Lytechinus pictus: one gene and its partners. The protein of the gene in region 3 purifies or fractionates together with the protein of the main gene of each other region. This does not show direct contact. Links are inferred from orthologs where the notes say so. Each region holds a gene or a part of one and is shown on either strand. Other genes may lie near its edges. The genes, in order: U5 small nuclear ribonucleoprotein 40 kDa protein-like, small nuclear ribonucleoprotein Sm D3-like, splicing factor 3B subunit 1-like and THO complex subunit 1-like.

What was found.
Region 1: the proteins of splicing factor 3B subunit 1-like (region 3) and U5 small nuclear ribonucleoprotein 40 kDa protein-like purify together in Homo sapiens (co-immunoprecipitation; 3 studies listed by BioGRID and IntAct, with this or other methods). This does not show direct contact. The link is inferred for Lytechinus pictus from reciprocal best matches to the Homo sapiens genes SF3B1 and SNRNP40.
Region 2: the proteins of splicing factor 3B subunit 1-like (region 3) and small nuclear ribonucleoprotein Sm D3-like fractionate together in Homo sapiens (co-fractionation; 4 studies listed by BioGRID and IntAct, with this or other methods). This does not show direct contact. The link is inferred for Lytechinus pictus from reciprocal best matches to the Homo sapiens genes SF3B1 and SNRPD3.
Region 4: the proteins of splicing factor 3B subunit 1-like (region 3) and THO complex subunit 1-like purify together in Homo sapiens (co-immunoprecipitation; 4 studies listed by BioGRID and IntAct, with this or other methods). This does not show direct contact. The link is inferred for Lytechinus pictus from reciprocal best matches to the Homo sapiens genes SF3B1 and THOC1.

The regions. Positions count from the first base shown.
Region 1 is NC_087245.1:8,205,505-8,213,095, forward strand, and holds the start of U5 small nuclear ribonucleoprotein 40 kDa protein-like, read left to right. Parts: upstream 1-4,581; 5' UTR 4,582-4,956; coding exon 4,957-5,073; intron 5,074-7,591. UniProt on the Homo sapiens protein: Required for pre-mRNA splicing as component of the activated spliceosome. Component of the U5 small nuclear ribonucleoprotein (snRNP) complex and the U4/U6-U5 tri-snRNP complex, building blocks of the spliceosome.
Region 2 is NC_087246.1:7,902,893-7,910,803, reverse strand, and holds the start of small nuclear ribonucleoprotein Sm D3-like, read right to left. Parts: upstream 3,007-7,911; 5' UTR 2,614-3,006; coding exon 2,304-2,613; intron 1-2,303. UniProt on the Homo sapiens protein: Plays a role in pre-mRNA splicing as a core component of the spliceosomal U1, U2, U4 and U5 small nuclear ribonucleoproteins (snRNPs), the building blocks of the spliceosome.
Region 3 is NC_087257.1:28,175,193-28,182,623, forward strand, and holds the start of splicing factor 3B subunit 1-like, read right to left. Parts: upstream 3,013-7,431; 5' UTR 2,942-3,012; coding exon 2,911-2,941; intron 1-2,910. UniProt on the Homo sapiens protein: Component of the 17S U2 SnRNP complex of the spliceosome, a large ribonucleoprotein complex that removes introns from transcribed pre-mRNAs.
Region 4 is NC_087261.1:24,315,191-24,322,260, reverse strand, and holds the start of THO complex subunit 1-like, read left to right. Parts: upstream 1-4,068; 5' UTR 4,069-4,321; coding exon 4,322-4,375; intron 4,376-7,067; coding exon 7,068-7,070. Other genes in the region: uncharacterized protein LOC129279903, read right to left, coding at 3,933-3,989. UniProt on the Homo sapiens protein: Component of the THO subcomplex of the TREX complex which is thought to couple mRNA transcription, processing and nuclear export, and which specifically associates with spliced mRNA and not with unspliced pre-mRNA.

The DNA of each region.
Region 1 (7,591 bases), on a different chromosome or scaffold from region 3:
GTGAGTTTGAGGGACGTAGTCAACCCATTTGCTCAAAATATTTATTTTGGCAAATCACATGTAATTCAATTGTATTTTCTATTCACAAGATCATGAAAGAATTTCATTTTATTTTTCATTTCAATGATTGATCAAATGGATTTGATGAGTATGATTTAAATCATATTCAATCATTACTTGGTTGACATTACCTTTCATCAGCTGTTCCCTGTTTCAAGTACATCATCACAGATTTAAACATGGCAAATGTATATATTGGACTAAGGAAAAATTGAACAGCAGTTAAACCTCAAAATGTTCATTCTAGCCCTTAATTGTAAGTTGAAAAAGAACGATAATGGATTTTCAGTACAAAGTGTTGTATAGATGAACAGAAATATGTGAACTGACTCCCATTCAGAGCTGCGTCTTTTCCCACAGGAATTCCACAAGTGTCTTCTCCTAAAGTTACCTTATAACACTGTCGTAAATTTATTTACCGGTACTGTTTTTGTTGTATAATTCAAAACCTTTCAAACTTTTTGCAAGAAAAATAGAGAAATTTGGGATACTTTCTCATTTCAATTCTGAAGTAGTTCCAATAGATTCTGATAGAACTGTATGTAAACATAGCTTTGCTCCTCACCATGGTGTAAACCAGTTCAGTTCCACATTTTACTCTTATTCATTTGTTTGTCACTTTATATGGTCCAAATTACAATCGTCATTTCTTGTAATTCATGTTTTTAAAAATTGAAATGTAAGTAGCCTTATTTATACAACTTCTTACCCTGCTTTGATGGAAAAAAAACAAGTGACAATGTGATATTTTTTTTCAATCACAAGTGAAAGTGCCCTCACTTCCGCAAAGATCAGTGGATCAGTATTACAATACATCCTTATTCCTAGCATGAATGTTTTGCATACTGTATATATCAAGGAAGAGAGCAACAAATTCACATGTTAAAACATATTTCAATGATATCATATGTCACTGTCACTTGAATCCTTATGTCAAAGTAAGGTAGTAAAAGTTGTAAAAAAAGGGGGGGGGGTATCCGGCAAAATGTATTTGTCACTGGCGTAAATCCTTGCGTCACACCTGTTGTTCAGGGGGGATGATCTATTGTTCCATCCCCCCCCCCCCCCGAAGAATAGGTGTGACTCACGGATTTACGCCAGTGGTATTTGTAATCATTCATGCATTTTGTTTTTATTGTTTTCAAAATTGTGAATGGCTTTCCATGAAAGACTTGTTGTTCAGAAAGTTTTGAGTTTATTGTTCATGTGGAATAAAGGATGTACATTTTGACTTATGAAAAATACACATTGTATGACAACTGACAAGAATTACAAGCAACTTTGGCCTGCCATCTTTTTGTTGTTGATGTATGACTCTGGATAGTAGGATGAGCTATGCTATCTATCTGACTTATTCATTCATTTTTTATATTTAGCCTTCATTCAGATCCAATTCTACCCATGCTCTCCTTTTCTTTCTCTCTCTTTCTCCAATTGCCCCCCTCTAACCCTCCATCTGCCCCCCTCCCTCTCACCCCCCTTCTTCTCCCCCCCCCCCCTTCTTCTCCCCCTTTCTTTCCTGCAGTTGGATGTTATTTGGTCACTCACCAAATATTGTTTGCGACCAATGGGCACCAACACAAAAAGGGCCCTTAATGGCATATGACACAAACTAAAATTGGTACCTTATATTTATCATAAACATACCCAAAATGGTGTTAATGCAGTAATCACACAGGTCAAGAATATTTAGTGGCATAAAAACCCTAGTTAATGAAGACAGAATTTGTAAGTTAGACCCTGGATGTCATAAATGGCACTTAATTGAAGCATCCCCATTTTAAAAGAGGAAATTTGACCCTGTTTATGTGTTTCTTTCTTCTCTTTTTTTTTGTTTGGGGGTGTTTGGAAATGCATTCGTAGCACAATGTGTAGTAGTATGTGCCCTTCTGATTTTGTGTGTTCTGTTGATTTGATTGATAAAGAAATTGATTGTGGAGTTATTGTCTGATTGGAATGGTCTGATTTGTTATTAAAAAAAATGTTATCCAATGTGAATTGTGTGTGGTTGTTAATATGTGTGCCAGGGCTACCCCATGTTTTTGTTCCATAAGGGGGGGGGGACAAGATGACCCATCTTTTTCTCAGTTGAAGTACAGCGTAACAGAAAATTAAATACCAATACCTTTTTTTATGATATTCTTTCTTCTCTCTTTGTATTCCTCTCTGTTTTTTTTTTTCAATTCCTCTTTTTTCACTACTTGTAAAACCATAGTAGTAAGGGGTGGTATTCTGAGATCCATTTTATCTCAGATAAAATAAAATATTTTATCTCCGTTAAAATCAGTGAGATAAAATACCCTTAAAATCTCTCCGAATTGGTATTCTGAGAACAATTTTATCTTCATTTTATCTCTGTAAGACACACCTATTTTTCAATCAATATCCAATCAGAAACGCGCTTTTATAGCTCTCTCATATCACTCAACCAATGGAAATCCATTCCGCTAGGAGGTGTGGCGAAGGAGTGAGATTGCGTCAATTTATTGACTTCAATACGCTTGCGCGTCTTTACAGAGATTTCTTTTTTTTAAACAAAAATGGCAATAATCTCATCTTTTTTTCGAAGTCTATATCGCATCTATTAAAGCATCATTTCAAAGACGATATTAGTCAAGAAAAGTCTTATGAAATGATTCCTGATTGTACAGGAATAACTTTATGGTGTTGTTCTCAATGAATATATCATTTTTCTTAATTTTCATGCCAACATTTGGAGTTAATTCACCTAGAAATATTGACGAAATCAACGTCGCGGAGATAAAATAGCACCTACCCTCTTTTAAGTTTATTTTATTTTTTCTTCAAAGTAACTTGGGCGCAAGCACATCATCCGCGTTGCAATGGCCAGATACGCAATGGGTATGTCTACGCAGCCACTGCTCTTTTGCATATCATCATAGATACGCAAGATAAAATTTATACGCAAGATAAAATTTTAAATTTTATCTGAGAGATAAAATGTCATCTCAGAATACCAATTTCATTTTAAGAGATAAAATAAAATATTTTAAAGATAAAATGACCTCAGAATGCCGCCCCTGGTCTGTTAGCGAAATTATGTGGACACGATGGACAAAAGCATGATTTTTTCTCCAGACCTTTGTTTATGTATAAGAAGTAAAAATGGGGTATGCTCCAAAAAATCTGGCTGCAGGAACAGTGAAAAAATGGGTGAAAATGTCAGAATTTATGAGTTTAGATTGGTCTGATATATAGACTAGCGCTAGTGCAAAACTCAATAGCAGTGCATTATTTTGCATAGGTTTAGTTCTTGAATTCAGACCCCTTTTGAACAGATTTTCTGTTTGTCCTCGCATCTCAATGCACCAAATATCTGAATGCAGATGCTAAACAAGCCGAAGGGTGGCGGTGGAGGGGGTTGAATGTTGGTGTGTATGTATATATTTTGGTCTTGGGGGTAAAGATGTGCAATACACATTTTTTGCATGTGTTGGAAATTGCGTTGCCATGGTAACAGTGTATTATGGCCCAAAATTAGGTAAAAATATTGCAGTTAGAACTTCTTCCTCTGTTTTCAGAAAGACTTTACAAATTGCTCATGTTAAAATTGTTCTTTGGAATGGGGTAGAGAGGAGATAGAACTTTGTGAACTTTACTGAAGAGAACTAGAGTGGTACCTTCAAGAAGGTATTTAGAAAAAGGCACAGAGTAAGGTAAGGTATCTAATAGTGCTCAACTAAGGAGGGAGGGGGGGGGGTGGCTGTGTGCTCCAATCTTAGTCTAGCCCCCCCCCCCCTCTTTATAAGCCATGTCATCTATAAAATTATCTTTCTTTCTTTCTCTCCCTCTCTCTCTTTCTCTCTCTCTTTCTATCTATTTATGTATCTCTTCCTTCTTACATCTGATAGGCAATAGCCCTAGGAAGATTTTGATATACTAGTAATAGGTCAAATGCAAATGTACTAAAGTAATATGTTCTCATTCTTTTATTGTTTCCTCATTCAATCTTATGTATATCTGGTAATTATATAATTGGGGCAGTTCTGGTATCCTGATATCTACACAAAATTTACATACACCTTTATATTACAAGGTGAACAGGGGCCTTTATATATTGTCATTGCATTCACTGTTGGGCTATATGCAGGTAGGATATGTAGACATCCATATAGTGAATATAACATATATGAGTAACACATTAAAATGGGTCATTGCATAGAAAATAGGCATTTTCAATGCATTTCTTTGTGCTAGCGTGAGTGTACAGATATAAAAGAATAGCAAAGTAGCTATTTAAAAAAATAAAATTCATAGGTCATATAATAAAGGTGCCATGAGCCTAATTACATTAGGAGGGCTAAAGATATTCGTTCGACCCAACCCATTCGAATTTTTTCAATTTAATATTGCTGATTGACAAAAGTGTATGAATATGATTCAAAATCTAACACTGTTTCTAGAAATGGTAACTACTGAGCTTCCTTTGCCCAAATTGGGAAGATATATCAATGATTTGGAATTATTTTTGACTGGCGGAAGAATTGGGGCTATTTTACTGTTTCAGTTGATGAATTTGATCCCATCATATAGTTATCTTCATAAATGGCGATTTATTTTTAAAATGAGCTGGCTACGATACCCTTCTCTGGTCAGATATGGAATGTCAGATATATATCCTATCCAAAGGTAGTAAACATTCGACCCTCTAATTTCACATTTATTTTTTATGAATTTTTCTGAAGTGCCATTTTAACACACAAGTCTATGGGGAATGTTTTACGCGCGTGACACCGTAAGATCGTATCTCTGTGAATGCCAACTACTATAGCGCCATCTTACAATGATATCTAGCCAGCTAACTTTGCACGGTGCATGGATCCAGTGAAGGCCCACCGTATTTTTTTTTAGTTTACATTTGCACATCTCGAAATCATGCCGGTGATGGACCACAAACGGAAAGCAGAGGAAGGTGCTTTAGTTGCAGTTAAAAGATCGAAGCATCATGAACTTGTGGCTGCAAGCAATCAACAAAATGCTCTCATGCAAGCGGTAAGAATTAACTTTACTCTTTAGTAAGCAAGAATAGACTACTCGACATTCTCACAATGACTATCATACGACTGTATTCCCAGTTATGCGATTTAGCTTCCGTGCCATGCGAACATTACAATCACGAAATCGTGATAGACTTCAGAGAAGAGGCGGTTTATACTAATTGCACGCACCGTTAACAGGGATGGCTTCCTATGTGGTAGACTCTGAAATGACTGGAGAGAAGAGTTTCTGAATGTTTGTCTATGCCCAGCTTTTAGCTTTTTTTGGTGACTTGAATACAAATAATGCTCCCTTAATTTGACATACGTGTGCAAAGAATCAACAGATGACGGTAAATTCATGAAATTCCTTGGCGCTAATGCAGTTTGAACTAGGCCTAGTTATGTGACAAAAAATAATAAAAAAATTATCTGATAGTGATATCAATAAATTTGGTGTCATTTGAAAACTCTTAAAAGGCCTTTCAAATGATACCAAGAACTCTAATTTTCATCAAGGAATTATAAAGTTATTTCAGTTTAAGTTGCGCATATTCATCTAAATGTGTGGCCGATGTCTTATTCTTAATGTAAAGTCAATGTAATACATAACCGATTTTTGTGACCTTTTGAACCCAAGTCTTCAACAGGCTCTAACTTCTTTGTTTTGGGGCCCTTTGGAGTAATTTTGGTATGAATGGAAAGGTGAAAGAACGCTCAATTGATGTGTAATCATGTCACTTTGTAATTTTTTTCTTAATATGTGTACAATAATTTCTTCTAATTAATTCAAATTAATTATTCCAATTATGCATTGTTTTTGCCAAATGATGGTGATCATGATAGATAATTTATGAAATTTAGTTGGCATCGAAACAGCATCATGTGGGAGATAATTTTCGGCAAGACTTCCCTAAAATTAAACAAAAAATATGGAGAAGGTTTGTCAAGAATTAAATATACTCACTTGTGTTAAAATGTATTTTATTGAAATATTTATACTTCTTGATTTGTAGGTTTTTTATGAAGATTGTGGTAAATAAAGTTTCAATTTCAATCTAACATATATCTAAGAGATTTAGGAAGGAAAAGTTGGATACATACCTGATACCAAAATGTGGCTTTATTCCGTCAAAATCTCGAGTGTGTGTAATTCCCAATGTCATCGGTTTATTTAGTCAGAAAAATAAATACCCAATACTCTTGGAGAGTAGACTAGTCGTAATATCGGTTGATAACCGACACACGATAACCGTTATGAAACCCATGGCTTTCAACAATTCCTGGTACATGTAGCTCAGTGAGTAAGGCGACAGACTGGAGATGCTTCGTTCTGCAGCGAGAGGTTCGAATCCAAGTTCCAAGCTAAAGTAAGAAGAAAAAAAGAAGATAAAGAGAATGAAAGAAGGGGGTTTTGGAGAAGTATTTTTTTTAATTAGTGGAGGGGACATAAAGAAATCTTTCCTAATTTTCTTAATGAAATTGTTTAAAGTATAGTTTTTGTAATTTCTAATGTATTTCTTTGTTTTTCAGGTATAAATTACAAGCCTTTTTTCAACTTCAGTATTGTATACATATATGTATGGGGTCTTTTTTGACATGAAAATTATCATTTTGTATTTTGTATGGTTTAAAAATAATGTACAAGTGTGCTATTTTCTAATGTATTTGATTGTTTCACCAATTCCTTCTCTTATGTATTTTATAGTTTCAACAATTTGTTATACATGTAGGCCTATAATAGCTTTTGATTTTAGAGACCCTGGGCATTTGATTACAATTTAATTAAGCTTTGATATATTTTATCAGTTTTCAATGCATTTCTTAGATTTGTATACATATTATGAAGGCCCTGTTTGAGCTCCCTTTTTTTTAAAAAGAAAAATGAATAAATTCAGATTCTAAAGTGAAATCACTGCATATAAATGTAGACATACTTCCATACTATTATGAAACAAAACAACAAAATTAGCAAGATTTTGTGGAAAAGAACTTCACAATCCAAACTTACCAATCTCTCCATTGATAAACTTGAAAGGCACCAAATTATTGGTTGAAGACAAAAGAAAAGGAAACGAGTGGTCTATATCTTTAAAAAAAAAACCTGAAAAAAAAACAGATATCAAAGCTCTAAACAACAACAAAAACAGACATCAAAGCTCCAAACAACACTAAAAACAAGAGAAACAAAAGTGACACAAAAACTTGTACAAATCCCATCCCCATTTTCCAGTTAGAGACACAACCCCCCCACCTGCAACCCTCATGCAAAAAAAGGAAAATTTAAAAAATAGGGGGGAAAAAAGATTGATAAAAAATACAGGACTAGACCCATGTGGAAATGAACAATTATTTCCTCTGAGTTTTCATGTATTTCCTTACAATCTTGAGTGAAAAAATCAAACAACATAATTTTTGCATTTTAATTTAAAAGTCAACATTCATGATAGGCCTATTCCCCTTTCAAAAGCAAATCCAGTCTCCAAATAATGAAACATGATTTAAAAGTTTCCATATATATTTTTTCTACAAAA
Region 2 (7,911 bases), on a different chromosome or scaffold from region 3:
CCCCTTTGAAAAATCCTAGGTACGCCGCTGGCCGTGGGCCTCTACTGAGACAGTCTGAGTACCGTAAGGGCACTAGTATTCAACCCATTTGGAGAATTTCCTCAAATTTATAGAAATATGGAATTTACCTTAATTTCAGACCTGCCTTATTTCCAAGAGCAAATGTTGGTTATTCTTTTTGCATTATTTTTTTCTTCAACCCGTCGACTGTGTACGCGGGCGATCGAATTATACGTCGATGGTTTTTGGCACTAGTATTCAATCCGTCGGCACCAGTATTCAACCTAGCGATGAAAGATGGCCCTGTTTCTCGATCTGCCCACTTGTTCACTGCAACCATCCTGCCTGTGTGGAATCTACAGGTAGGACTATGGCATGCCAATGCTGTACAGAGCACACACTTTAAAAAATCATTAAAATATCACTTTTGTGACCAAAATTACTAATTTTCATACAGTTGCAATTTATTTTTCATTAGTAACTTGGGAATAATTTTTGTATTTACTAGAGCACTCAAAAACTTGAATTTTGGGCATATTTTTGTGTACGCCCTCTTTTGGTGGAAAGTAATATGGCAAGAAAATTTTCATTTTTTTATCTCTATTTTTAATCAAGAAAAAAATAATTTAAAGAATCAAATTTACTTAAGGGCCAAGTTGTATGACGAATAGGTGTAATGGATTTGAGATGAGACCAAACAGGGAATTAGTCAAAGCCAGAGACTTAACCAGTAGAGGCGCACGGCCAATATTGGAGACTGTCTCCAATGTGGGAGATTATCTCCAATATCAGAGACTTTTGTAAAGAATTTGGGTATCCAATTTCAGAGACAGTCTCCAGTTTTGGAGTCCAATTTCCTTTGTTTACATTTGCTGCAAAAGGATTAACTTGGCGGCAAATAAAAATGTGATAAGCAGATTCCTCATGAAAAATTACCCCTTTTCACCGTCTACTTTAAAAATTCACCGTCTACTTTTGTTTTGATAAAGGATTTTTGTTGTCAATCACACACAAAACAAATGGGCTTCTGACCTCAGTGAGACAAAATTTTGGGTGGAAAAAATCATGCTTTTGTTGGTGTTGTTTCTTTTGTCCTTTTGCAAAGCAAGTCTCCAATGTGGGAGATTGTCTCCCCTATTGGAGAGAGTCTCCCATATTGGCTGTGCGCCTCTCATGCCTCTAGGCTCTACTGTTAACAGTTAGGCCTACATCTAGTCTGTACGTCATAGATCTAGTTTAGCAATTTAAACCATTTTGAGATTCACTATCTATCATCACTAGGTTGAATACTACTTACTAGTGCAATTCAGTGCAAAAAAAAAATTGCCAAAAGGTCATCGCCGCATAATTTGATCCTCCGCACAATCGACAGAATTACACTCACAGTCACAGATTGATAAAGAAAATACCGAAAACAGATTAACATAGTCATTACCCTGGCCTTGAAATAACAAAGAAGGTATGAAATTAAGATAAATTCCCTATTTCTAAATATTTGGGGGAATTTGGCCAAATCTTTGAATTATGCCAGGTCGAATACTAGTATGGCAGTGAGTCCAAACTTCGCGCGTGTCCATACTTCGCGGACGGTCATTATCTAAAAAACTAGCCAATATCCTTAAAATCTGACATCATCAACGTGAAAAGCGACCTAAAATTACCCTTTGGTGTAAGTTTCTTTAGGATGAGTTCAGTATTCATGAAAATATTGGCAAAAGATCGGCAAATTTGTCACCGTTAGCGCCCGTTTTTGAAGAAATCTGATATTCTCAACAAGCATCACGATATCACCATTTTGCAAGCAGAAATCATCAAAAATGTGAGTTAAATGTGGTACAAACCAATTCTATAGCATTTTGCCATCAATCTGATATAAATATTTCACTTTTTGAGCTTGAGTTTTTGTTTAAATGTCCACAAAAACTTTGGTCCGCGAAGTTAGGTCACACTTTTTCTGAACGTTTTCCAGTACAGCGCGCATTCGCCGATCAGAATAGAATTTTGAGATCGCGATACTGGCGAATTCCCTTGACCTACTTTACATTTTCGTCCATTATTTTATAGTTTACGATCTTGCCGTCAATGTGGTAACTATTTTTTTAATTGGTTTTGTATAATTTATGAATATTTTGTGAAAAAATTTAAACCTGATGAATATTTTTGAAAAGTGCGCGAAGTTTGGACACCCCATCATAGTGCCCATACGGTACCCTCGGCCTCGCCTCGCCTGGCTGAGCTGAGGTAGGGTTGACCGGTTACACCATACAGAAAAATGTCAATTGATTTTACATTGCAAAACGTACCCTGGGCTCTCAGAATCGCAGACTTTCCTCGTCCTGCAGATCCCTTAGATCCGGCTTTCTTAAACATGGGAGCATTCTTCAGCATATCAGGCAAGATGAAAAATCTAATTTTGCTTCCCCTGATATAAACATGCTCAAGCTGTGCGACTCGTCCGTCGCGATAAGTGACAGTTATGTGCATCATTTGGCAGTTCATGTTGTCTTCGGCTTCGATGAGCTTTCCACGGTAGACTTCACCTGTATTCGTCTCACAAGTGATGATATGTCCCTCTGCCTCGTGTAAAACCTTAATAGGTACACCGATCGACATCTTTTATTTCGATTTCAAGTATTTCTGGATGAAAATAAACCTCGATTACGTAGATTTTGAGCGATTGTGTAAATAATTCTGCTTTCTGTCGACCGTACCGTGAAAGTGAGAACACAATAATAAACAAACGTACCGCCAAGTTGCCAATTTGATCATGATAAAGATTGATAAAGATTGAGCTTGTCGAGCTATCCAACTCTATGAGCTATTCAGAGAAAGGGCTATTTTATTTAGAGATGACTGCCAAAATAAAATGAAACCAAACTATGTTTAACATTGTGTGGTTCGTCGTTTATCAATATTCAGTGGAATCATATAAGTATGTTTAATCTAATGAATAATAGACACAATTCTAAATTGATGGGCTATCGCTATAGTGACTATCGCTATACTGACTATCGCGATAGTCAGTATACGTGTTCACACGAGACTAGAAGATAGCAATAAAGACATAGAAAAAAAAGAATTAAGGGAGAAAGAGAAATAAATTAAAAGAAAAAGAAGAGAAAATAAAAGAAAATGGAAAAGAAAAATAGGGGAAAATGAAAGAAAAACAATCATATGAAAATATTGGAGGCGCGATAGCTCAGTCGGTAGAGCGGGGGTTTCGGATTCCGGTGACCCGGGTTCGATTCCCAAGTGGTGCGCTAGTGCCCTTTGGTAAGGCATTTATCCTCATTACCAGGTCCCTCGGAGAGGACCTTAAGCCGTTGGTCCCCTGGTTGCTTGTTCACAGGCATTCGTGCTTATTTAGCAGTCAGGTAAAAAACCTCGATATAAGAAGACAAAAATGAAGGAGAAATCGAAAGAGAAATATAACTCGATATATAAAGGAAGCTTTTAAATCCATTTTAAAAAGCTCCAAGCCAGGGGAACATAATATAGTTCTTTCTGCATGACAATAGTTGCCAGCCAAATTAATCAAAGACTGAAAGCTGTTTTCAATTACAAGAGCTAGATCATGCAGGTACATAAAATAGGCTGTGCCGGGAGGCTGCACATTCATTCACCCATCCATGCATGGATTATACAGGAAAACGGAACATTTGGAACATGATAGCTTGTGTAAGAACAGAACAATCACAAAAACAGATCAACGAAACTTTGAGAAAATTGAATAAACAATAAGAAAGTTAAGAGCATTTGAATTTAGATCATTATTGTAATGTAGAACTTGAATGCCAGAAAGATGTGTGATGTCCAGTATGATAGCTAGAGGTGGAAAAATTTATCAACATAATGCTGGTGACGTCACGTACGTGTGAACAACTTTCCCATAAACTTTTGTATATTAATCTGCCTCTTTTATCACATCTCATAATGACAAGGCAAGTAAAACAGATTTTAAAAGAGAAAGAGCAAAAAGAGATATTTGGGGGTATTTCATAGTCCATCAAAGGGAATTAAAGTATAGTTCATATGTGACATCACACATCTTTGTCGCATTGCCAATTGGAGGATCTCCATAGCATTATAGTGATTGCAATATTCAAATGCTCATAGCTTTTTCTTTATTTTTGACCAATTTTCTCAAACTTTCTTTGATATCATTATATGATTTTTCTGTTTCCACATGCAAGCCCACTTGTTCCAAAGTTTTTGTGCCCCTCATTAATTGAAGAAAGAGCATTATAGTTATTATAGGTGTTTTCTTTGCCTGTATGGGCATGAAGGAGGGAATTGGCTTTCCAAATTTGTTTTTTAGGGGGATATATTGTTCAAAAAATAATGTGGGGGGGGGGGAATAAAAGGAGAATATAACAAAACCATAAAATGACAAAGTTTGCTCATGGTTCATGTTTTAGAATTTGTTGGATCGGATGGTGGTCCGTCATAACCACCGAGTCTCATCAAATTCAAAATCCCATTCTGAATAAGATTCCTAACCTTCACTATTTGCATAAAACAAAATAATGCACAAAGAATATCTAAAGCCAGGAAAGTAGTTCAGGCATCTTTATTTAATTTATTATCAAATAATCTAATTGCCATAATCATACAGCATCCTGTGGAATAGAGAATAGACTAAAATACCACAATATTTCATGTAATTTATGAAGATTATGTTAACAATCATGGATCAGATCACTACCAACTTTGATGATCTATCTGACTTGTCTCAATTCTGTTGTGCATCCTTTGAGATTGGCCTTTCTTAGCCGCTGATCAGGGGCCCGTAACACAAAGTTTAGCAATGATCCTAGATAATTTTTCTACGATTGATTGCATTGACTACAGTATAGATTAAATCGTGAAAATCAAGCGTACGATTAATCGCTAACCTTGGTGTTACGGGACCCAGGAAAATTTTTGAGCTGTCCAAATTTTTGATCTAAAATCATGATTACCACGACCTCAAGATCTGCCACAGTCACAATTATTCCGCGATTGAGACCATGGTTTCCATTGTGGCATGAATTGTGACAGTGTGAAGAACCAAGAAGATTCTATGACTGCATGGATGAGTTCCAACAGGCAACAAATTTATTCAAGCAGCTGTAATTCATTTCTAAAGAAGCACAAAAGAAAGAATGGCAGTCGATAAGAACCTTTTTGAGAGTCCGCCTTCGAAGCCGCCAGTTTCAGCGAAGAAATCAGAGGGGTGAAATTTTACGAATATCCATTTGTATCAATTTCCATTTTTCATATTATTAAACAAACTGAAATTTGAACTCATTACAAAATATCAATAACCAAGCACTATTACGCCGATATATTTGCCCAGCTTATATCAATCAACCTTTAATTAGTGAAAAATGTAAGAATTTGACGTTTACTGAAAACAGATTTTAACACTTTTCCGATCGTTTGCGGCGAATGAGAATTTCAAATGTGGTCAGTGGAATATTGTTATTCATTATTGTATATGCCAGATGAGTGCCCGTGCATGCCCAGTCGAGCAAATTTGAGTCATTTATTGCAGTTTATTTTCGCACGCCTCCGAATACGTACTACACATATAACCAGATCAAGATGCAGCGAAAAAGTAATTATCATCACAATATAGCATGTATCCCTTTATATATGACCTATAGCTGTGGAGTCATGCGAGAATCATTTGTCTACACAATGGGCAAGAGATGTTGAGCAAAGTGCATGCCTGACATACTTGCTGGTGGCGGTTTTTATCCTCGTTCAAAGGGATTTTATTTGCTGTTACTCCATCTCATTGAAACCTCCTTGGAAGAACTAGGTATAACTGACTCGTGACCAGTGGCGTACCTAGGATTTTCCAGGATTTTCGTCAGGGGGGGCAAAAAGGTCTTTCAAGCTCGTCAGGGGGGCAGGGATACATGCATGGGTGGTGGCTCGTACCCGTAGGTACGCTAGTGCTCATGACTATTAAAGGGATGGTCCGGGCTGAAAGTAATTATAGCTTAATAAATAGAGTAGAATTCACTGAGCAAGATGCCGAAAATTTCATCAAAATCGGATAACACTAACTTTGTTATTTGAAATAACAGTTATTGAATTTTAAAGTTAAGCAATATTTTGTGAAAACAGTCGTCATGAATATTCATTAGGTGGGCTGATGATGTCACATCCCTATTGGCGGCGGAAGCCCAAAAAATTGAGGGGGACGACCAAAAAAAAAGAAAAAGGTTATCACCCAAATTTTAGGGGGGACCATCAAAATTTTTTGACAAACACACACAAAAAAAAAAAAAAGTTATTGATACAAAATTTAGGGGGGGGGATCGTCCCCCACCTCAAATTTAGGGGGGGGGGACAAGTCCCCCCCCCCGCCTATGCACATCCCCACTTGTTCTTTTGTATTTTATTATATGAAATTAGATTTATTCAAATTTTTTCCTCCAAGAACTAGAAAAATTGGATTGACAACTGATTTAGTGCATTAGATATTTATTGCTGCAACTTATTTCATTATAAGGGAGACATATTATTCACACAAGTATGAAATAATGAAAAAAATTTGATTTTCTGTAATAACATAAGAAAACGGAAAGTGGAGATGCGACATAATCAGCCCACCTAATGAATATTCGTGATGACTGTTTTCACAAAATATTGCTAAACTTTAAACTTCAATAACTTTATTATTTGTTATCCGATTTTGATGAAATTTTCAGCATTTTGTTCAGTGAATTCTACTCTATTTATTAAGCAGATAACAGGCACAATTAGATATGAAATTATGCACCATACAAGTCAACAGATTATTTCAAAATTGATTTAATGTGATTCACATTTGTGAGTGGATCCTTTCTATGCATCATGATGATAGTCTAATGTCACTTTGAGGGGATCAATACCAGACTTAAGTTCTGGTAATATAATGTTTTATACTCTGCAGAGAGTAGTACACTCTCATAAACATGATTAACATTAAAGATAAGGGGAAAAATAGGTTTGTGGTAAGGTATAGAGCAAAGAATTATCAAGAACTTACAATAAGCTAAAACTGCATTACCTAAACCCAATGGCCCGCATTCTGAAGTAGGGTTTAACTTAGACCACGGTCTAACTCTGTGCTAAAATTATTGGGAGCCAAAATTTCTGTTTATATTGTATATTTCTTATGTTTACTATTTTGTTTCCTTTTGCTTTCATAATGAAGAAAAATCTGTCAGTTACCATTAACAGACAATTAAGAACAATTTGAGTGTCGAATGAGTTAATAAATTGGATGTGTACTGTTAAGGATATGTGCCCCAATTGGCTCTCCATATTTAAACCACAACTTTAAACCAAGGTTTAATTTAAACCAGAGTTCAGAATACGGGCCAATGAGAACAATTCTATGACCGGTTTTCACCAGCATAACTCAGATATGTTAATGTTGATATTGAAATGCTATTGAAAACAATATACATGAAAACATATTTATCTGTTCATGAAAAAATATTTGGAATCATTGAGATACAATCTGAATTGTACATGTACAATTGCAACCGGTCATGGTGGCTCAGTGGTAGAGCGTCCGCCTCATGAACGGGAGGTCATGGGTTCGATCCTCGGCCGAGTCATACCAAAGACTTATAAAAATGGGACCTTCTTCTGCCTTCTTGCTAGGCGCTCAGCATTTAGATTGGAGAAGGGCAATAATAACATCATTATGTTATGCTGGTAGAGCTAACTGAAGTGGTTACCCTGGGAAAATAAAAGATTATTATTATTACTTGTGGCACATGAAAATGACAATCACTGAAAATAATGAATATGAATAGTATTCATGTACAGAAATAGGTAGGGACTAGGGACAGAATTTTCACAATGTAAAATCAAACTCGTCTAATAGGTAAAGATAAAGAACAGTTTTAGATACTAAAATCACAA
Region 3 (7,431 bases):
CAAAATGAGATCTTACTCAATAAATTTGATCAAGATACTGTGATGTAGCAACAATTTATCAATGGCACCATGTGGAAAATTGTTCATCTGCCACCCTTTTTGCATACCCAACTACAACTTATCATGCAACCCCATAATATGTCTGCCAACTATGCACGGACGAGTCCTGGACCTGGGCTCCGGCCTGCAAACTGGGCCGCAGCTCCCTGGTTTACAGCTGGGCAGCCTGGGCTGGCATTGGCCAAGGCGCGGCGTCTACTCGACACAATCAACATTCAAAAATGAAAAATGGCCAAATGATCAACATTGACAATCAATAGTATGGTAGTAGGGGGTCCTAAAGCTACACACCACTCATCGCACATGCAGTTTGGCAAATGCGCACTCTGCGTGTGGAACTGACTGCAGGGTGACGAACAATTTTTTTTCAACAGAGGCTGCAGTAAATCTCTAAATGCAGAGAAAACCAAGAACTGTTTGGAATTTTGGAGTTATACTCACTTTAATGTCATTTTATCCTATAATAATGTTTTAGAAATTGAGACACAGGAAATAATATTTTTTGCATGATAAATCGAGTGCGTAGCTTGGGTGTCTGGAGAAAAAAATTATTTTTCTTATTTCAAGAAAATATCACATTTTCTTTGCGAATTTGAAGAGAAATGACCTTCAGACTGACAGAAATGTAACATTTTTGAAAAAAATCAAATTATTGGCTGCAAAAAAAGAAGAATGAAATTAGGTCAATTTTCAGCATTTCTCTGCCATAGACTGTGTAGTTAAGAAATGGACACACACAAATCCAAATTTTTAGCTTCCGAGATGTTATTAATTTATTATTAATGCCAAAAACTTGTCCTTAAAGAGTCCAATAGGATTTTTTATGCTCTATCTGATGGTATGATTTTTATAAAGATTTGGAAACCAGATCACAATGAAAAATTGCGACAAAGTTAAAACAGAAATTTCATTTTCCCATAGAAAACCAGAGCTGCCAACATTGGGATGATAGAATCCAGAAGATTTCGCGGAGGTATGATTTTGTGAGGGAGCGCGCGGCGAAATGTCCCACGGACGGGAGTTTTGGGTAGCAAAACTCATTAAGAAACAACATTTGATAGTATCCGACAGCTGTCTAAACCATCAAAACTTTTGGCACATAGATTAAATGCACATTAGAGAGATTTCATGAAATGATGAATTGTCTGTCATTGACTAAAAAAATAAGTTCAAGCCTGATTTCAGGCAATACAGTAGAACATAAAATGATTCACAAAAGAATGCGTTCAACAAGAAAATACCTTTATTGTCCAGAGGGGAAAAGGGCTGCAGTAGTGGAAGATGAGCTTGCCTGGCCCTGTAAAGACTTATATGTGGCCTGTTTTAAAGTCTGAGGGCCGAGGGATTCCTGTGAAAATTGCCTTTTTGTAGCAAGCACGCACAGCCAGCCAGCGCCAGGCTAGCTCACTCACGAAAGAGAAAATGTTCGAATCCGATCAACCCAAGTAAAAGTAGGCAAAAAAAATCTCCACTTTGCTTCTGTTCTTCAGGATTGTCAATAAAATTATTCCTAAAAGTCAGGGTGTAATTATAATAGTAACCCATCGTTGATCCACAGTTTCAGCTCGAATAAAGCGCACACAAGCTTCCGAAAAATACATCGGACTTCCCTTTTCGCATAGCCTCCTGCCGGAGACCAGGCAGTGCCGCGCCGGGGCGCGTCGGGGGGCATAGGCATGGAGTGCCGCTAAAGTGTTTCCATCATGCACATGCACATTGCAGAACCAGAAAAAAAAATTGCTTGTTAGACTAATTCACCAGTCGTTCGGTAAAATTATCTTCATTTACATTGGAAATCAATGTACGATTATACAAAAACTGGTAAAAGTAACTGGGTAAAATGAAAATGTGATAAGGAGTTTCCACGTGGGTGTAAAACTAAAGGGAGTTGAACATGCTAGACTCGTAAAACAGTCGTTTGTATGAATTTTACAATTTAACAGCTAAAAATCACAATTATCCGGGAGATTTTGGCATGGGGTCGGGAGAACGGGAGATTGGATCGAAATCCAGTATTCTCCCGCAGGATCCGGGAGACTTGGAAGCTCTGGAAAACGCATGGAGAAATGGCAATCTCAACACACACAAAAATAAGGTTTTGCAATTTATCTCTAATTCCTTATTTAAAATGATCATATAAACTTGTCCTTACTGTCAAAAGAAGCCCCTCAATTTTCTCTTTCCATACATGCCAAACACAAGTTAATAATAATAATCAATTCAGATCACATTTTTCTAGTAGCCTGAACTTCCCCGAAAAATGTGCCATATTTTCCCCTAAATCAGCCTGTTTTATGCTGACACTTTTCAGTGTGGCTTCAGACACTAGCTTTAGGACCTCTTCTACATTCTGAAAAAAACAGCCATTGGCATTGCCATTGACATGATTGACATGACAGACAGGCTGACAGCGGGATTTTCGTATTACGTGAGTTTTGCAAATTTTTATTCTTGTTTATTAATGATCTTTAGAATGTTTGCCACAAATTAGTGAAATATAATTTGTTCAAATATTAAAATTGGCATAGTTTTTATCGTTTGAAAACAAAGTGCGTAGCTTCCCCCCCCCCCCCCCATCATATCACACAGGCCATGTACCAGTGTGTACCCATACATAGGCCATACCGTATATGACACCACACGAATCAGTCAACACAAATGACAAAATAAAAAAAATAATCACCCAACTCTCGTCGTCAACAACACTGATAATACAACATAAACAGACAAGTAAAACATATTTTTAAACATTCAAAATTGTGGTCTCAAAATCTATGATCATTCTTCTTTCAAATTTGTATCAATAGAGTGAATCATGGCACCAAACAAGAAACATTTCAAGAGTCATACCTTCACGCGTTGCATACTCTGCGGCCGCCATGTTTGATGCTAAATTGGACCTACACGATTTCCGTGCGCGCGTGAACGCGCTCGTCAAGCTAGCTTACGAACGCGCCGTGCGACCTTTGCTCGTGACGTGACGGAGCTGAGGGCTCGGCAGGATCGAGGTAGTCTACAAATGAAGACCCACATCTGCAGTGTGTGTACCACACCTGATTCAACGAGTCTGCATAGCAGACTAGGTCTACTGTGGCTGGCTCGCTTCGCTCGCCATTTCAGGCTGGTTTGCTTGCTTCGCGCAAACCAGCAGCAGCGCGCGATCCCACCTCACCAGCCATTCAGAGTCTGCATAGCAGACTAAGATCGAGGTGGGGGCGCTTACTGGGGAGAAGAGAAGAGAAGAGAAGAGAAGAGAGGAGAAGAGAAGAGAAGAGAAGAGAAGCCGGAAGAGAAGAAAAGAGGATCGAGAGGAGAGGAGAGAAGAGAAGAGAATTAGAGAAGAGAAGAGAATTAAGGGAAAAGAAAAGAAAATTCAGAAAAGCCAGGAGAGGAAGGGGAGACAAGAAAGTGAGAGGTGGGCATAGTTTTTTTTAGGTCGACTATCGTGTACTAGTATTTAAAGGAAAATGAAACATTTGGAACAAGATAGCTTGTGTGAAAACAGACAAATCAAAGAAACAGATCAACAAAAGTTTGAGAAAAATCGGACAAATAATGAGAAAGTTATGAGCGTCATTGAATATTGCGATCACTAATGACATGGATATCCTCACATTGGCAATGCGACAAAGATGTGTGATGTCACTTGTGAACAACTCTCCCCATATACATTTCACTAAAACTGCCTCTTTTTTCACATCTATCAGTAGAGCATATATTCTTTCTATGGGAGGGCATATAATACATATTTTTAAAGAATACATCATGGATAAAGAGTTTGTATCACCATAAGAAAATTAAAAAAAGAGACATTTTGGGGGTATTTTATAGTCCATCAAAGGGAAAGTTGTTCCGTGACATCACACATCCTTGTAGCATTGCCAATGGGAGGTTCTCCATAGCATTAGTGATTGCAATAACTTTCTCATTATTTGTCAGATTTTTCTCAAACTTTCTTTGTTCTTATTCTTTGATTTTTCTGTTTCGACACAAGCCTACTTGCTCCAAAGGTTTCATTCACCTTTAAAGTAGATCAAATTCTACTATAGCACTGTAACAGCTAAGCCTTAATGAATTGATCACCTCAAGCCTTAGCTCGCTCTACTCAAACCTCAACAGGTAACCCATAATGCAACATTCTGAGCAGTGTAGTCTTGTAATATAGACCGACTTGAACGATATGCTAATCCCGGAATGCTAATTCAATATACTCGATATATACGTTCACAATACCGCAGTGATTATGCTATATAAGTAGCAGAACATGTACGTTCCTCTCAAAAGCAGTTTATTTTCCCTTTAAAGGTATTGTTTAACTTTGTGTTTGTGCTTTTGTCATTACCATGGTTGATTGTATATTGTACATTTTTTATTGTTGTGTGTATGGACCCCTACGAAAAACAGCACTTGCTGATAGGGTGTTCCATCCCACAAGTGGTAAATAAATAAATAAAATAAAAAATAAAAACTTTAATTGTGAGCAGCCGATTTAAAAAATTCTCAAACCAAGATGAAACATGTGTACAAGTGCATGTATTAGAACTAATAAACCCTGAAAACAACCATTATTGAGAATGAAAAGCTAAAACTACAAGGCAAACCCCGATTTTGTAAATAGGCGTCTTATAGACGCCTAAATAGTACACATAAGTGTATGGGATGAAATTAAGATGGTTTTTTTCGGTCACTTTATATTTAAATTTATGTAGCACTAAATAATTATTTTCGAACGCAATTTTTTCTGGGCTTCATTTTTGTAACATATCACAGACACAGGTGAGAATTAAGTGTGACCTTCTAGCTCAGATTTTTTAAAAGTCAAACCAATGTTAAACAATCACTTTAAGTATAGGTTAGGTTATTCTCTGTAAGCCTATATATTGGTAATTGTTATCTCAAAACGTATATCTTAAGACTAGCTAATGAGAGCTCCCCTTCAACATAATTATGATGCATCTGAGCATCCAATCCGATTCAAGCGGATTCAAGCTCGTATAAGCACTTTTATAAAGATTCAACTAGTTGTTGACAAGAAATAGTCTCAAAATGCATTTCTTATTTTACGGGCACTATTAATGGAGAAAATAAAGAATGCCTGACTTATTTTTTTTTTTACAGTGTAGCATATTCTATCCTGAAAAGGCTGTAAAAATACAGAACAGGCTGACGAGGGGTGTTTGAAAAATCCATGAAATCCCACAAGCTTCAGGGGTTCTGAAGCGGGGTATAATAAGAATGGGGGAAGAATTATAATTTTTTTTGTTCAGGTCACTATTTAGAATTTTTGTTCGCGCTTCGCGCGTGCATTATAGTGTTTAATGAAATCCATATCTTGTTCATGATTATTAAATGGTGCTTAAACTATCCGGCTTTGAAGTCTACACTGTTAGAAAATTTCTACTTAAAAAAAACAAAAATTCCTGCAGCAGAGTCTCGAGAACACCTGTATGTTACTGCACTGTGTAATATTACATGCATTTTGTGTAAAATTACAGAAAATAGATATTGGTGTATGTAACCTTACAAATTTATTGTAATAAAACTGTTTTCCCCCTTTTTAAAACAGACCTGTTCTGAAAAATTCTATAAAAATTGTATAAAATCTTTCCTGTTTTAACAATTATTGGTTACTTCTTTTTGTAAAATCTGTTTTTATTTTTTCTTATGTAAAATCTTCTGTTTTTCTAACAGCGTATGCAAAAAAATTTTTTTTGCTATCACACAGTGTTGTAGTGTCATGATGCTTGGCCTTGGCCTTAAGGCCTACTTTTTCAAAGCCTCGGCCTTGAACATTCAAGCCTTAGCCTTGAGAGGGCCTTGACCTTGGCCTTGAGGATTTTGAGCCTTGAAATTTCAAGGCATTTTCAAGGCATTTTGTAATTTGTACTTTTATTTGTTTTTATATAAGTAATTATAAATGCTTAAAATTTTCTGTATATTTAATGACACTAATGGTCAATTCTACCAGTCAACAATAGCAGTAGCAGCAGCGGTAGTAAGTGTACTAGCAGTGCCATCAATATATTTTTACAATTATCAAGAATCATCAACACATTATATTACAAAGAAAACAGCAGTGATGAAAAAAAAATTATGTGTTGTAATCTTGACTAATGATGATAATGACAATATTACTAATAATGATGATAATTATCGTAATAATGATTATGATAAAGATTATAGTGATTTGATGTCAGGAAGAATTCTGACAGATCTGACTGCAATTTTGACAACAATTTTCATACAATTTTTATAGCTAATTCTGAAGAATGATAACAAGGTTGATTTCTATTCCATTAGGATTTTCCTCGTATTATTTTCTTTGGTCTTTAATTTGGTAGTATTCTTTATTCCGGTTTTTTAGGTAAAAAAAAACAGTAGAAGATACAAAAAATGATAATTGAAATTTTAAAGTGGTTGTAAGCAGAAAAAAACATGAAAACTGACAAGAGTCCTAAAACTGACTAATTTTCAGGTCAGCATCTGAAATTTTCAACTTGCGCTTTGTGATCTCTTGCCCCCCCCCCTGAAAAGTTCCATGTAGGAAAAAAGGCCCCTTTTCTAAATCGAGAAATTCCCTTTTTTCCAAATGAAATGTGCCCATTTTCAAAAACATTGAAAAGAAATACCTTTTTTAAATAGAATTTATAGTAAAACATAATACATTTTAAGTTAGTAAATCAAAAATTTGGGATCGCACTCGCATCAATTATTGTTTAGTATGGTATTAATACTAGTAATCCTGTTCATGGTTACAAAAATGTTTATGATTTCCAGTTTTCAGATTGGAATATCACAGATCTTTGGCTCGTGTTCTGCACTCGCATTAATTGTTAAGTAAGGTACTCATTCTCAGCGGCGTAACAGGGGTCGGTGGCCAGGGGGGGGGGGGGGCAAGAGCCAAAAATTTCCCGGTCATATCATGGAACAGGCAATGGCGTCATAAGGCAAAAAATTTGAGGGGGCGATATGGCGTATCGGGCAAATATACATATAAATAAAAGCGAGCGAGCGAAGCGAGCGAGCAAAAATATTTTGACATTTTTATTGCAAAAATCCAATTTTGTGATAGATTTTTACATAATGTTAAAAAGATGATATCATATTTCACCCTCTCTTTTCCTTTTCTCTCTTTTTTGTACGCCACGGTGAACAGGATTTTTGTTATGATTGTGAGCATCAGGGCGAAGCTCTACATGCTCGAGGGGGCCGAGTATGGCGCTTCTGGCAAGAAGTAGCTTAACATAGGTCCCGAGCGAGCGAAGCGAGCGAGATAAAAAAATCACCTTTCATGAGAATCTAACATGAAGATAGATTTTAACGTGATATTCAGAAAAATATAATACACTTTCCTTTCTTTCCTCATTTTTT
Region 4 (7,070 bases), on a different chromosome or scaffold from region 3:
CCTCTCCCCTCTTCTCTACAACATCTTTATTGATGGCCTGATTAAGCTGCTAAGATACAAAGATCTTGGATGCCACTGCCAAAACCTGTATGCTGGGGTAATTGTTCTAGCTGATGATGTGGCCCTCATAGCTTCCTCAGCCAAAGAACTTCAATGCATGCTGAATCTCATCCATACCTATGCAACCACATGGAAGTACAAGATCAACCCATCAAAAAGTGCAATCCTCGTCTTTAATGGGCAAGACCACCTCAAGCACACTTGGTACCTGAATGAAGAGGAAGTTCAAGAAGTCAGTCAGCATCCCCATCTTGGTGTCACCAAATCTTCAACATCTCAAGATCCTGCGCCGAACATCATTGCCAAGGGATATAACTCCATATTCGCTCTGCTAGGTGGTTCGGCTTCAAGAAACAACTTCTGGCCTCCAACCATTGCCAAGTTGTGGACCACCTACTGCATTCCTAGGATGCTATATGGCATTGCTGCCATTAGAGTTAGCAAGAGGTCCAGGGATAAGCTAGACTCAGCGCAGGCCCTTCTCTTCAAAAAGTTCCTAGGGCTCCCCAGAAGCACAGCAAACGAGGCAGTCTTTCTCCTTACCGGAATCATCCCTCTCTCTATATGCAGATCGACCTGAACACCTTGATGACTCTCGGGCAACTGGTTACTTTACCAAGCGATAGGTTTGAGCACAGAATACTTCTAAATGCTCTCGCTGCCGATGTCCCTTTCATCTCCTACTGGAAGCAGCTAATCGCCAAATACAGCTTGCCTGCCATCCTGTCTGGCTCCCTGAGCTTCGACTACCTCACCTGGAAAAGACTGTGCCGCCAGGCCATCTTCAAGAAGCACAATGCTGGCCTAGTTGATGCCACTCAGGAGAAGCACACTCTTGCCTTCTGGAAGCAATGTTCAACGTTTCCAAGCCCTAGCAGTATATTCCCCCCTGCACTACCTTCACACCTCCGTATTGCTGCAAGACTTCGCTCCCAACTTCTGACAGGCACCTACCTAACACAACAAAGACTGAAGACCATAGGCAAGTCTCCCAGCGCCACCTGTAGACTTTGCTCAACGGAGGAAGAAAGCTCCACCCACTTCCTTGCTTCCTGCCCAACTCTCAAACCCCAACGGTCTGTTCTCATTCAACATGTCCCATCTCTAAGCCTCCCTGCTTGTTAGCCAATTAGCCTTCACCTCTGCTCATCCCCTCATCCTTGCCACTAATATCTTATTACCCTCCTCGCACCTATCTGTCACTCTTGCTGCCAATGTCATGACCCACTGCCTCAGATACATTCTTAAAATTCATCATATTCGCTTAGAGAAATTGCTTCAACACAACAACCAACCTGCGGATAGCCGCTGATCCTCGAATACCGGGGGAAGAACAACAAAGAAGAAGAAGAAGCATGGTATAATTTATGGCTAAGTAACTTAGACATGACCCAAATCTGGGCAAGGTTGCCTTCCTCGACAGGAACTCTGAACAGTAGAGGCTTGTTGTTGTTCGTTTTGGGCCTGTTTCACGCCCTAGTAGTCTCCTCGGTAGACACTTAGTGTTGAGAACTCAAAGGTAGAGGCTCCCATGTGGGAGATCACAGGTCTCAAATCTCAATTGGTGTTCAATCATTACAGGGACTCGATTTTAAGGCGCGCGAGAGCGATCGCGCGCTACATGCGCGCCTTAATCCATTTTTGGTAGCGCGATTAATAGCGCGCCTCGCGATAGCTGACCTGCGCGAAAATGCCTAAAGTCGCCCTCGAAATCACCCAAAATCATGCTTTCGGGGGCGACATAAAATCTGAATGTCGCCCCCGAAATTATTGCAGAGTGATAACAACTCAACGGCCCACTAGTGCCATATGCTCGAGCTCCGCTTACCATTTAAAAACCATCCAAAATCCACACTCAAAATCACGAATAAGCCTTAAAAGTAGCGAGTAGCGCAGTTTCAAATTCCGAAGTTGCGTTATTTTTTCTGTACCACGTATTTCCATACACATGGTACCAGGTATGGAAAAAAAAATCAACGCATCGGTCGGGAAAGAGTTGCATGTATAGGGGTCCATTATGACTACCACCGTGTGCCATTTCGAATGCACATGTTTCCCCTACAGATATCACAATTCTGTGATAAAATAATTCGAATTACACAGGAAATAAATCCCAGAGTCTAGTAACCTAGCATTGGTGAGTTGTCATTCGGCTTTGCTTTTCATAACGGCTTATTAACTTCCAAAATAAGTTATCTAATTTATCAATTATAACTAAAAAATCATTTGTTTTCTTTTTCTAGGGGATGAGGTATTATATCAGACAATAAATCATCAAACAAAGCTCCATCTTTTTTACAAGGACGGCGGCAGGCTCACGCATTGGCGCTTTTACTAGCTAGCCAGTTGGAGCTCTGTCTCTCTGCCAGAGCTCTGGGGGACAATTCGCTCAGTAAAGGCCTCAATGATGGTGATTTTCTGTTTCAGACAGAGTTTACATTTCAGGAATATTATTCAAAACTGCCAATAAAGTTTGATGATTTCTTCATTGTCATGTATATTTAAGTTCTTAATGAATACATTCTCACCAAATTTAGACTCCCCCATAGAGAAATTAAATTTTCATGGAGATCTGCGTTTTCAAAGAACTTCAGGAAAAGTTAGGGTATGTGATGGGCCTTTATTACATGTACTGTACGACTAGGGTATTGTACTGGAATAAATGGAGTAGAAATTAGATATTGAATTCATTTATATCCAAGTCCAACTCACAGTCACACACACACGCACACACCCACACACACCCACCCATCCACACACACCCACATCCAAGATTCTAAACATGATAAATAACTTTAAAAATCATACAATATTAAACAAAAAGTAATAATTCCTTAATAAGTGAACAGGTATTCCTCAAAATACAAAAAAGTAGCATTTAAAAAGAGCCCCCGAAATTTGACAAAAAAATTAAAATGGAGCCCCCGAAAAAAAAAAAAAAAAGTTTTGACTTAACTTTTAGCCAAAGTCAAAACCTAACTAAAACAGGTTTTACAACACACAATCTAATTACAATACATTGTAAAACAATTATAAATACTTCCTTTGGTTGTTGATTGTAATTTTATAGTACATACATTTCCTCCATCCATTTTGTTAATTGGGCAAAAAGCTCCCCTTGTATGTTGAAGAAGAGCTTTTTGAAGTGCTCCTCTACCGCTCTCCTTAAAAGTTCTAGGAGAGCTTTTTATTGCTCCCCTTATAATTATAAAACCGAGTCCCTGCATTAGTTGGAAGGATGACTAACAAAAATATTGCTCTCTGCTGTGCTGCAGGTTTTTTTTCGGGAGGGGGGGGGGGGGGGTCCAGTGGCATACAATATTGAGTCTAATTTTTTTAGGGGATGACATATGACGTAAAGGACAAAATTTCTATTTAAGCTAGACCTACAAGCTAGGACGCAAAATAAAAAATATTGACATTTTTTTTTTCATTCATCATGTTCACCTTTCGTTTCACTCATGTCTCATGATTGACATTTTTTTTAATTCATTCATGTTCACCTTTCGTTTCACTCATGTCTCATGTCTCATGATTCATTAGTTACTGATTTACTCATTCTTTCACTCATTCACGGCGGCTGATTCTTTCCTTCCTTCCTTCCTTTCTTTTTTTTTCTTTCTTTCTTTTTTTTCTTTCTTTCTTTCTTTCTTTCTAAGTTAGGCTCTCGCTATCCTACACTGTCAATGGACACCCAGCGCGCGCTACCGCGCTACCGCCCCGGGTCAAGCTAGGCCCTAGCCTGGCCCTGGGCTAGGGCCGGGCTGGGGCGGTAGAGCCAGAGCCAGACATGCCAGAGGGATCATGGCATGTCATGGGTCCAGTGCAGCGCCCAGCCTGGCGCTGACTGGGCTCTCTTTACGTAAATTTACCTCGAACTTGATATTCGATGTGTTGCCGCTTACTTTTGCAGCCAGTTTGGAATCCATACTTGTAAGGAAGAATGTTAAAAATCAAATCCTTTCCACAACTATGGTCTATGCACAGCCAGTGCGCGACAGTCAGCGTGTTGACAATTTGCGAAATGAATAAAATAGTCTTAATAAAAGACTTTTAATTACATAATCGTTGACTCGGGACTAGATATTTTCTATTTTCATATCTTTTACACCGATTCCTGACATTCATAACAACGATTGTTTTTATTCTTTAAAATCAACGAAAAGGCGGTAATTATTTTGGTAATTTGGTCTCTTTAATTCTGTTTTACTTCGTTTATTTTAAATACAAAAATCCTAAGCTGAAACTAATAAAATTAATCATGGCGGCCTCCGAGTCACAGTTTGATTTTGAAGCCTCGAGGGTAAAATACTTGGTAAGATGTTTTCTGACCATCTAAACATTTATTTATTCTATAAAATCATTCATGTTTTGATTCTTGTACATTTGGATCAAAATTTTAGTTTGGCTCTGTATCATTTTAAGCTTATTTCATCTTGTTAAATCCATTGTTAAATTCTGAGTGTCATGTCTGCGAGTGTCACTGTGTGCTGTCCCATATATTGTAAAATTTGTTGTGTTTAAATCTTTAATTTCCCGACTTGTCTGTTGGCTATTGCCATATCCGTGTAGCCAGGAGGCTCCTGGAGAGTAAAAAATCCTTTTTCTAACGTAGGCTTACTCTCTTAGGAGCAGCAGGGATTGGGTCCCATTCATGCGCGTGTAATACGTAACGTCGTAGGCCTAGGCCTACCGCAAAAAAAATTAAACCTTGGGCCTGGCTTTGGCCTTTGCTTGGCTTCGCCCCAGTCCAGTCTCCAGAGTCAGACTAGACTGCACATCGTCATTGACTGCAGCAGAGTTTTTTACTTTATACCTTTATACCGCATCTACTGGAAAAATAAAGTTGTTCCTGCAGTCAAGTTTCCAGGTCTATCTTGTTGTCTTCCTAGCTTGGATAAGTTCGAAAAACTGAGTCTGCTATTTGTGCAATGTGCTGTGCCAATGTATTGAAATGAAAAAGGCACTATTCCCATGCGTGAACATAATTAATGCCACGCAGACCAGAACTTGTCTAACTTTGTCTTGAAGCCATTGATTGTTGATGCTGTGACTACCTCAGTAGGCAAAGAGTTCCAGTCATTAACCACTCTAACACTGAAGGTGTTTTGTCTCACTGCCAGTCTACTCCTTTTCAAAAATAGCTTGTAAGGGTGGCCACGCGTTGCTTGAGTGGTAGCTGTTGTGAAGAATAGGTCTCTATTCACATCATCAATGCCCTGAATTATTTTATAGGTTTGTATCATGTCACCTCTGCGCAGTCTGTACTTGATGGAGGGTAATTTCATTTCACGCAGTCTTCTACCATAGTCCATTTCTTTCAGGGCTGGTACTAGCTTGGTCGCTCGTCGCTGGACTTTCTCAATAGCCTTCAAGTCAGAAGCATATCTTGGGTACCATATTCCATTCGCATATTCAAGAATTGGTCTCACGAGTGACTTGTACAACCTTTTGATGTTTTCTTTGTCTCTATGCAAGAAAGTGTGTCGAATCATAGCAAGCACACGATTAGCTTTCAAGACTGCGTTGGCTACTTGGGAATGGAATTTCAGTTGAGAGTCCATAATGACTCCCAAGTCTCTTTCCTCCGAAACTTCCTCCAGCACATCTCCATCTAGATGATACTGATGATGGGTATTCTGATGACCTAGATGGAGGGATCTGCACTTTCTAAAACTCTACACGATTAAATCTAGCCCTAAATCATGTATTGTAAATGAGATACAAGTCCAACTTCATTTCCGACATTTCTACGAGTAGGATATTGATTTCATTTTTAAACAAGAATTCATTAAAAAAACTAGAAAAATATTATGAAAAGACGGGGAAAACTTGCCACCGTGTTTACGTGGCCATCTTGTTTTCTTTGTCATTCGCCAAGATGACAGCACGCATATCGCGATATCGGTGGCAAGTTTTCCCAGTCTTTTCATAATATTTTTCTTGATTTTTAATGAATACTTGTTTAAAAATGAAATCAATATCGTAGAAATGTCGGAAATGAAGACTGAAGTTGTATCTCATTTACATGATTTAGGGCTAGATCTTTTAGAAAGAAAGTAGAAATTTCTGGGGCGAAAGTTTTATTTTTTTTTGCGGTACACGCGCATGAATGGGACGCAATCCCTGGCTCCGTGCAGAGTAAGCCTACGTTAGTAGAAAGATTTTTACTCTCCAGGAGCCTCCTGCATTGTGACTACATAGTAACATACCAACACTGCATTAATATGCACACATGACACACTAAGCAGTAGCAGTAAGTAGTACATGTAGGGGATGTTTAACAATTGCAAGTAGGATCTACTTAAATGCAAACACGTATCTAAATTAAACGCGCGCAATCTAATTCAGTAATTGATCAATAAGCAGTAGTGCACCTCCTCTTTGCATGATCTGACCAATGTGGTTATGCCTTTTATACCGCACGCAACTAGGCATTTAAGTGCGACTCTAAGTCTAAGTCATGCTAAATCTTGTGAAACACCCCCCCCCCCCCCAAGAGTTCTAGTAGAGGTCTACAGTCATGACTGTCTTTGTACTTTTTTTTTATATAGCTTTTGTCGTCTTTTGATACTTTTTACTTTTGTTCCCCCCTTTTTGTTCAGGCTCTTGTCATTGTCAGGAGTGTTTTATGCCTCTAGCTGTAGGCGGCTCAATTATTTTCAGCAGACTGAAATCTATTTCACAAAGCTACATGATAGAAAAGACACCATACATTAGAGAACAGTCTCTTTGAATTTGTCAAATGTCAGTTTGCCTTGGGATTGGAGGTGACAACAATTTTTTTATGGCCACATTCATTGAAAATGAAGTATAATATTTGATAGTAGTCTAATTCTTGTTATATTTCATTATGTGGTTATCTTCTTATCTGTAGCTGTACTACTGTTATATGTAAAGAAAACTGTTATAAGTTTGAAAAAAAATTCATTCTTCATTTTTTATTTCATGCTAGACCCCTATTTTTTTTTTAATGCTTTTTTAATAACTTTTCTTTTTTGTTGTAGTCG